2 linked regions of the Macaca fascicularis genome follow. The protein of the gene in region 1 binds, or shares a complex with, the protein of each later gene. Links are inferred from orthologs where the notes say so. Each region holds a gene or a part of one and is shown on either strand. Other genes may lie near its edges. The genes, in order: MDC1 and PELI1.

Region 1 (3,314 bases):
AATAAAGAAAAATAAAAAGAAAATACTTCAGCAAAGAAAATCAAAGGAAAAAAGGGATAGATGGACCAAAAGTAGCATAATCTAAATTAAGCTGCTGAATCTCGGTGATTGTTATATGGGTGTATCAGCAGATCTGTCCCCTCATTCCTATCCCTTTCTATACCATAGGCCTTTCCCCACCCTCTCACTACTCTATATTCTTTTCTGTACCTCCATTTTTTTCCCCTCCAACCTTTGCCATTCCAGCCACCTCTTTAACTGCTACTGCCACCTCATCCAGACCCAGAACATCCTAAGCATACCTTATAGGACCGAGGCATGCTGGGTAGGTATGTGCCTCCACAGCAGCTAATGATCTCTCCCATCTGAGGTGGTGGTGGCTGGACTCCAGGGGTCACATAGATCTCATAGCCCTAAGAGAAAAAATGGTGGAGACGGTATTGTAGGTTGGGAAGCACTGGAGGGAGGGCTGAAGCACAGGTCAAGAGATAGCCTCTCACCTCCAGCAGCCTTCGCTCCCGAGCCCGACTCAGTGCGTCTTGAAGGCTAAAGCCAAAGTTCTTCTCTTGCTCAGGGTCGGTCACCACATATTCATCCGGGGGTAAGAAGCAACCAGCCTTGCGGGACTAAGGACAGCAGCAGTCAGCATCAAAGCTCAGCCCAGCCCCTCACCCAGCTCTGCTGCCTAGCATTTAGAGAGAGCTCACAAAATGTCTTTTAAATCATTCAGGCTTCTGGCTCACTAATGCCCCTGTCTTCCTGTAACGCCTCTTCCCTTCCACAACTTTCTAGGGTACTACGTGAGCAGTCTTGCCACTATATTGGTCTGTCATCATCCCTTGGCCTCTCACCTGATGCAGCCAGTCCAGGGAGAGAATGGGGATTCCCCGCCCCAGGGCACACAGGAACTTGACTGTCCGGCGGATGCGATCAGTGACCAGGTGGGAAGCCTCTGCCGCTGAACCAGCCAGACTTCCCCCCAGTGCCAGCACGGCCCGCTCTCCCTGAGCATCCACCACTCCTGTGAAGAGCACCTGTGGAAGGGTTGACCTGAGGTGGTCACAGCAACCCACACCATCAGCACCCATCTCTACAATCCTCCAGGTCTCCTTGCATCCTCCCCTCATCTCTGTCTCCCACAAAGTCTCATGCCCTTGTCTCTTACTTTGGGGGCTGTTGACTCTTGGTTAAGTTTGGTCCGTCGGAGGCTGCGGTTCGGTATTCTGTTGGGCTCCTCCTCTGCCTGGTCTCTCTTTCTCTTGCCTGGTTTTGGAGTCATGACATCCTGAGATTGAGAAAAATCTTGGTGGGAGTTTCAGAGCCCCAAAGCCATTTTTCCCAGCTTTGTGGTCCTAGCCCTCTCCTCACCTCTTCCTTCCCTGGCTTCTCTGCAGTATCTTCTTCCTCTTCCTTGATAATCACTGTCTTCTGGGAGACTTCCCCTCTTTGGGGCTGTTTTTGATGTGGTGGTGAATCCATGATAGCTAAAGACCTCTTGCGGCTTTGAGAGGCCTTAGGCTGGAGCTCTGGGGTGAACCTAGATCTACCTGCTGGTTCCACTTTTTGGATCTGGGAGGCATGAGTTGGTATATCAAGAAGCTGGGGAGAGGCAGGCTCAGGAATGGCTGTAAGGGATTCATCTGCTCTCACTGCTCCCCATCTTTGGTTCCTTGAGGGCCGGGATTTAGGTTCCAGGGGTGCAGAGCAAGGCTTATGGTCAATGGGAGCTGTGAGGGAGCCAAGATTCCCAGTGGCTCTCTGCCTCTTGATGCAACTGGCTTGAGGAATAGGCTCAGGGGAAATGGGCTGGTCTGTGGTGACAGGAGATTGGAATTCAGGGGTAGTAGGAATTAGCATAGCACTTACTGTGGAAGACCTCAGTGTTTTGCTCTGACTACCCTGAGGTATGGCCTCAGGGGTGACAGGCTGGTCTGTGGGGGTAAAAGGCTCAAGATCAGAGGCTGCTGGTTCAACTGGTTCAGGAGTCTTGACAGAGGACCTATTTGTCCTTCCCCTAGTGGCCCTAGATGTGGGCTTGGGGGTGACAGGCTGGTCTGTGGAGGTGGTAGGATGGAGCTCAGGGGCTGTGGGGACAGCTGGTTCAGGGGTCTTGACAGAGGACCTATTTTTCCTGCCCCTAGTGGCCCGAGATGTGGGCTCAGGGGTGACAAGCTGGCTTCTGGAGGTGGAAGGGTGAAACTCAGGGGCTATAGGGACAATTAATTCAGGGGTCTTGACAGATGACCTATTTGTCCTGCCCCTAGTGGCCCGAGATGTGGGCTTGGGGGTGACAGGCTGGTCTGTGGAGGTGGTAGGACGGGGCTCAGGCGCTGTGGGCACAACTGTTTCAGGGGTCTTGACAGAAGACCTATTTTTTCTTCCCCTAGTGGTCCGAGATGTGGGCTCAGAGGTGACAGGCTGGTCTGTGGAGGTGGAAGCCTGGAGCTCAGGGACTGTGGGCACAACTATTTTAGGAGTCTTGACAGAGGTTCTATCTGTTCTTCCCCTAGTAGCCTGAGATGTAGGCTCGGGGGTAATAGGCTGGTGTGTGGAGGTGGAAGGCTGGAGCTCAGGTGCTGTGGAGACAACTGGTTCAGGGGTCTTGACGGAGGACCTATTTGTCCTGCCCCTGGTGGCCTGAGATGTGTGCTTGGCAGTGACTGGCTGGTGTGTGGAGGTGGAAGGCTGGAGCTCAGGGGCTGTGCGGAGAACTGTTTCAGGGCTCTTGACAGAGGACCTATTTGTCCTACCCCTGGTGGCCTGAGATGTGGGCTCAGGAGTGATAGGCTGGTCTGTGGAGGTGGAAGACTGGAGCTTAGGGGCTGTGGCCACAACTGTTTCAGGGGTCTTGACAGAGGACCTATTTTTTCTTCCCCTAGTAGGCTGATATGTGGGCTCAGTGATGACAGGCTGCTCTGTGGAGGTGGAAGGTGGGAGCTCAGGGGCTATAGGGACAGTTGATTCAGGGGTCTTGACAGAGGACATATTTGTCCTGCTCCTAGTGGTCCGAGATGTGGGCTTGGGGGTGACAGGTTGATCTGTGGAGTTGGAAGGGTGGAGCTCAAGGGCTGTGGGCACAACTGCTTCAGGGGTCTTGACAGAGGATCTATTTTTTCTTCCCCTAGTAGCCTGAGATGTGGGCTCAGAGGCGACAGGCTGGTCTGTGGAGGTGGAAGGCTGGAGCTCAGGGACTGTGGGGACAACTGGTTCAGGGGTCTTGACAGAGGACCTATTTGTCCTGCTCCTAATGGCCTCAGATGTGGGCTTGGGGGTGACAGGTTGATCTGTGGAGTTGGAAGGGTGGAGCTCAAGGG
Region 2 (4,347 bases), on another chromosome or scaffold:
AGGTAAAGAAAATTGAATTTAGACAGAGAAGATTCAATTGAGGGAAATGAGGGACAGTGGTATTCGTGATTTAGGGTTTGTGGAAGATAAATTAGGCAGCAGGGAAGACTGAAATATCGGGAGGAAGTCAGATCTCACTGGACACTTATGACTGGTGAGGCTAGGAGTTCGGGGTGGAGCGAAGTAGGAAGGACCGGCTAAGGGGTGGATCCCCAACAACACCAGAATACAAGACCGCCCTTGTTCAGCCAACATCTGCACTGAACACGTTCGCTAAGTGTGTCGGTGACCATGGTAACGGTGGGAGGGGGCGGCCCAAACCTCGCCCTCGAGCATGCTCAGTGCAGAGCGAGCCTGGTCGAGTGCTGGACAACAATGAATCCCTTTTTTCTTCAGCCAGAGAACTACAATTCCCAAGAGCGTTCTCGGCGCGACGACACCGCCTTCCGCTGTGGCCCTGCCTCGTCCCCTCCCTCAGGCCCCGCCCTCCGGTTAGACCCCTCCCCTCCCTGGGAGTGTATGTCAGTGAACCAGAGGCGGTGTGAGGTGGAGGGACCGTCGGGGGGCGCCGCCGCCGCCTCCACCAGCAGCAGCAGTAGCAGCAGCAGCGCCAGCCCCGCGGCGCGGTCGAATTGGTCCCCAGCCCTCCGGGAGTGCACCACGAAGCAGCCCCAACGCCTCTCCCTGCTTCCGCGGCTCCTCAGCGCTCGACTTCGTGGTCAACTTCCCCGCGCTGGGCTCGGCTGGCTGGCGCGGAGGGCAGCGGCGGAACGGCGGGCTGTCTGCTCGTGCTCCCCGCGCACAACACTTCACCCTCTCGCCTCGGGTCTCAGGGGCCGCGCTGGGATCCCGGCCACCAGCAATTGTCCGGTAAGTGTGGCCGCGGGGCGCCGCTGGATGGATGGCGGCGAGGCCGCCGAGGGGCGCGGGGAGGGCGGGCGCGCAACTTCCTCGGCGGCTTCTCCGGCGGCCAGCCAGCCAGCTCTCCCCGCCCGCTGCGCGCCCCCGCGGCGGCGGGGAGCGGAGTTTGCGGCGCCTCCATCCCGCGCCCTGGCAGGAGGAAGCGCCTTTGTCAGGAACCGGCCCTGTGCGGCCTCCCCCTCCGCCCGGGAGCCGGGCGCGCGGCGGCCAACTCCGAGCCCCGCGCCTGGCTGGCCGCGCGCTCAGGCTGCGAGGGGGGTGCTCTGCGGGTGGCGGGTAGGAGAGGGAAATGGGAGAAACAAAAGGGGCGGTGGGTTTCCCTTTTGTTTGTGCGGATCTGATAACTTCTTTTCCTCCCTTACATAACGCAGACTTCCAAGTTAGTCATTCTTTTTATTGTTATGATTGTTGTCATCATCTCCGCGCGTCTTTCACATTTCCTTTCATCTTCGGATCTCAGAGCATTTTAAACACGCTAATTAATTTCACCCCTGGGTCCCCTAGGAAACAATACGCCCGTTTCCCTAAGTGGGTAAACTGAGGTCGTGAAAAGCTCTCTGATGGATACGCTTGATCTTTTACCGCGCCTGGTATCTGAGGATATGAAAGAGTTTATGAGGAAGAACCCGTTCTCAAATGCCCCGTGGAAAAGTTAAAGATGCTCATTTTACTTACAGGTTAGCTGAAGTCCGAAAGATGTCTAGGTAATTGTTACGTAGTTCAAACCATAATTCTTCTTACATAGTGTTTGAATCTTAAAACCTTTAAAGAGTTACTGAGAAATGCTTCGAGTAGGGAAATTAATGTAAATCATAAAGTCACGTCACCATCTACTTTTATTTTTGTACGTGTAGGTCTCTTAGAGGCAAGAGAGCAAGAATGGGACAGAGGGCATAGGTTTTTTAAAAATGTCCATTTAACAGATTTTAATCACTACACAGAAGGAAATGTGCCTTGGTTTTAACAGCACCAACAATATTCCTGTCGTTTAGTCATCAAACAGTATATCAACAAATATTATTGAGAACTTTATTCGTAAGATGCTGGTTGTGCTAAAAACTGAAGCTTTATACTTTATAGATAAGAAAAGGTCATCTGTTTCGGTTCACAGGCTCTACTTTTTCTTACTCTGCAAAATGTTACTTTGTTTTCTTTGCACATAATCTTTTGTTTCAGAAATCGCATTGTCCTTTACTGTGTTGAATATGTATTACTCTCACACTTAAGGAGAAATGAATTTTTTATTCAGTTTGCTTAATAGGGTGAATTTAAAATTTTTTAGTTGTGGAAAAGGTTCACTTTGTTCAGTTCTGTTTCAGTTTACGATGCATCTTCTTTATAGCCAACAGAAAATATTTTCTGAGTGATCAGATTTACATGTCTCAAAACATTGTTCTTACTGTACAAATACAGCATATGAATTCCTTTATTTATATCAACAACCTGTTCTGGATAAAAATCTTTAACTCTGAGGACCTTATTTATTTTGTGAGTTTTTATTTCTTTGGTACCAAACTGGAAAGTACCAAAAATTTAAATCAAGCATCACTTCTACTAGCTCTTTCCTCAGGTAAATAATGATCAGAACTGTAGTAACAGTGAATAGTTTCACTTACTCTAAATTCTCTTACATTTAATTTTGTATTGTGTGGTTGTCCTTACATTTTAGATTTTGGTGGTTGCATCAGAAAATGAAAGTGAGATGTTCGTTATTTTATTTTATTTTTCCAGAGCCTTCTAACCTGTTCCCTTTCTATAGTATGTTAAAAGAGATCTTGAGTTTAACATAAATAATTGGAAAGTAGAACAATTATATGTATGGAAAGTTGCATGTAGTGAAGTGGTTATAATGTCTCATCTAGTGAATTTACAGGTTTTAAAGAGGAAACTATCACCTAGCTTTTTATTGGCATGGTAGAAGTGCTGTAATGTAGTAGTAGTGGTATTTATTTACTTCTAAAAAGCAAGCTGGAAATTTGCCTCAGTGGAGTTTGTAGGGGGAGAGAATCCATCCTTTCCTTAAGATTGACATTTAAATGTTCTTGCAGTTGGTTATGTTGAACTTTTTCTGTGGTATTTTCAAGCCAGATTTACCGGGGACATTTGTACTTTAAGGAAGCTACTAACACTGTCTTGGCTCAGTCACTGGAGTCCGCAGGCAGAAGTTAGTGTTGACTGGCGAAGTCTGGCTTTGCAGGTTTTATAATTTCTTTGAGACCCCTTAAAGGAAATGACTGAAAAGTACGGGGTAGGAAGCTAGTCTAGTACTGCCAAATGCCATTGAGGCAAGTTTCAAAGAGGAAGCCAAAGGATGTTTCCGTTTGATTTAGCTTCAGACTCTTCTGGGTTGTCAGAATGTCACTTTTGTATTTTAAGAGTTCTATCATTTCAGAATATGATTCGTTATGGTTTTCTAGTAGGTCAGGTGATAACGACTATAGATAGTCATTATGCTTCGTGGACAACTAATATTTTTAGGCAGAAGCTTCTACAGCTGATAAAGATTTTAAGCCAAAGACTTAGAATTGAAAACTAACATATACGTGTACATTTTACCATAATACACCAATGTAGACCTATCCTAGTATTTATTAGATTAGAAAGGCTTTTATGGATGATTTTATTATACAAATATATTTAACTGTATATATTAAAATTTCATAATGACTAATATATGATGGCACTGAGGTGGCTTTAGGTGCTCCTTTTGGGGGAAAAAAGTCCTGTTATTCTAAAAGTTACATTTATGTCTTTGAGGAGAGTAAAGCAGATTTAAAAGCCAGTGGAAAAAGGAAGAAAATCAACAAAGTGAAGAAAACCTGATGAAGATGTTTTTAAATAATACAATATAAAGTTTCCTGGCAGCATTCATATATAAGGGACAAAATTCTAGTTGAAGTCTATAAACAGTGAATTCCACTTAGCACTTTCTGTTTATAGATTTCTAGCCATCTTTTCCAGATTCCCTCTGAATATATTACACAAGCAAAGTAAATAGAAGTCATTCTTTCAAGGGATTTGGGTTCTTGGAGTTTTTTTTACACTTGTGGTAGTGGGGGAGGGGAGTGCTTATTATATTTTCTTAGTTTAAGTGTGACCTGTGCCATAGAATATTCCCCTAGACTAATGTGTGGGAACCTCAAGACAAGAAATATTGGTCATTGAAATATCTGGATATGATTTCAAGTTCTGCCACTAGCTTTTTTTTTTTTTTTTTTCCAAATTGTCTTGAATAGATCACTTCTATTTTTCCTTCAAAGGTTGAAAATAACTGCCTAACATACTATGTTTAGTAGGTCCTAAATACTTTTTGTTGTTTAATGAATTTACAGGTAATAAAGAGAAAGCACAGTGTTTCTTGAATGGATGTCAGGGAATTTCTAATTTTTTTCTTTTTTGATAGAAAAAAGTAATCAAAACATAAAC

The links.
Region 2: the proteins of MDC1 (region 1) and PELI1 are in contact, whole or in part, in a crystal structure (PDB 9IF9), measured with the Homo sapiens proteins. The link is inferred for Macaca fascicularis from reciprocal best matches to the Homo sapiens genes MDC1 and PELI1. Residues at the interface, in NP_055456.2 of Homo sapiens: Glu761, Asp762, Ser763, Glu764, Thr765, Gln766, Pro767, Phe768, Asp769; in NP_065702.2 of Homo sapiens: Arg104, Ser105, Thr106, Glu107, Thr115, Asp116, Val130, Gln131, Ser132, Thr133, Ile134, Ser135, Arg136, Phe137, Thr185, Asn186, Thr221, Arg222, Ser223, Ala224, Cys247.

Annotation. Positions count from the first base shown.
Region 1 is NC_088378.1:141,951,370-141,954,683, reverse strand, and holds part of MDC1 (mediator of DNA damage checkpoint protein 1), read right to left. Parts: coding exon 1,369-3,314; intron 1,286-1,368; coding exon 1,166-1,285; intron 1,051-1,165; exon of another isoform or gene 1,035-1,050; coding exon 852-1,034; intron 627-851; coding exon 501-626; intron 414-500; coding exon 303-413; intron 1-302. UniProt on the Homo sapiens protein: Histone reader protein required for checkpoint-mediated cell cycle arrest in response to DNA damage within both the S phase and G2/M phases of the cell cycle.
Region 2 is NC_088387.1:57,777,877-57,782,223, forward strand, and holds the start of PELI1 (E3 ubiquitin-protein ligase pellino homolog 1), read left to right. Parts: upstream 1-1,504; 5' UTR 1,505-1,598; intron 1,599-4,347. UniProt on the Homo sapiens protein: E3 ubiquitin ligase catalyzing the covalent attachment of ubiquitin moieties onto substrate proteins. Involved in the TLR and IL-1 signaling pathways via interaction with the complex containing IRAK kinases and TRAF6.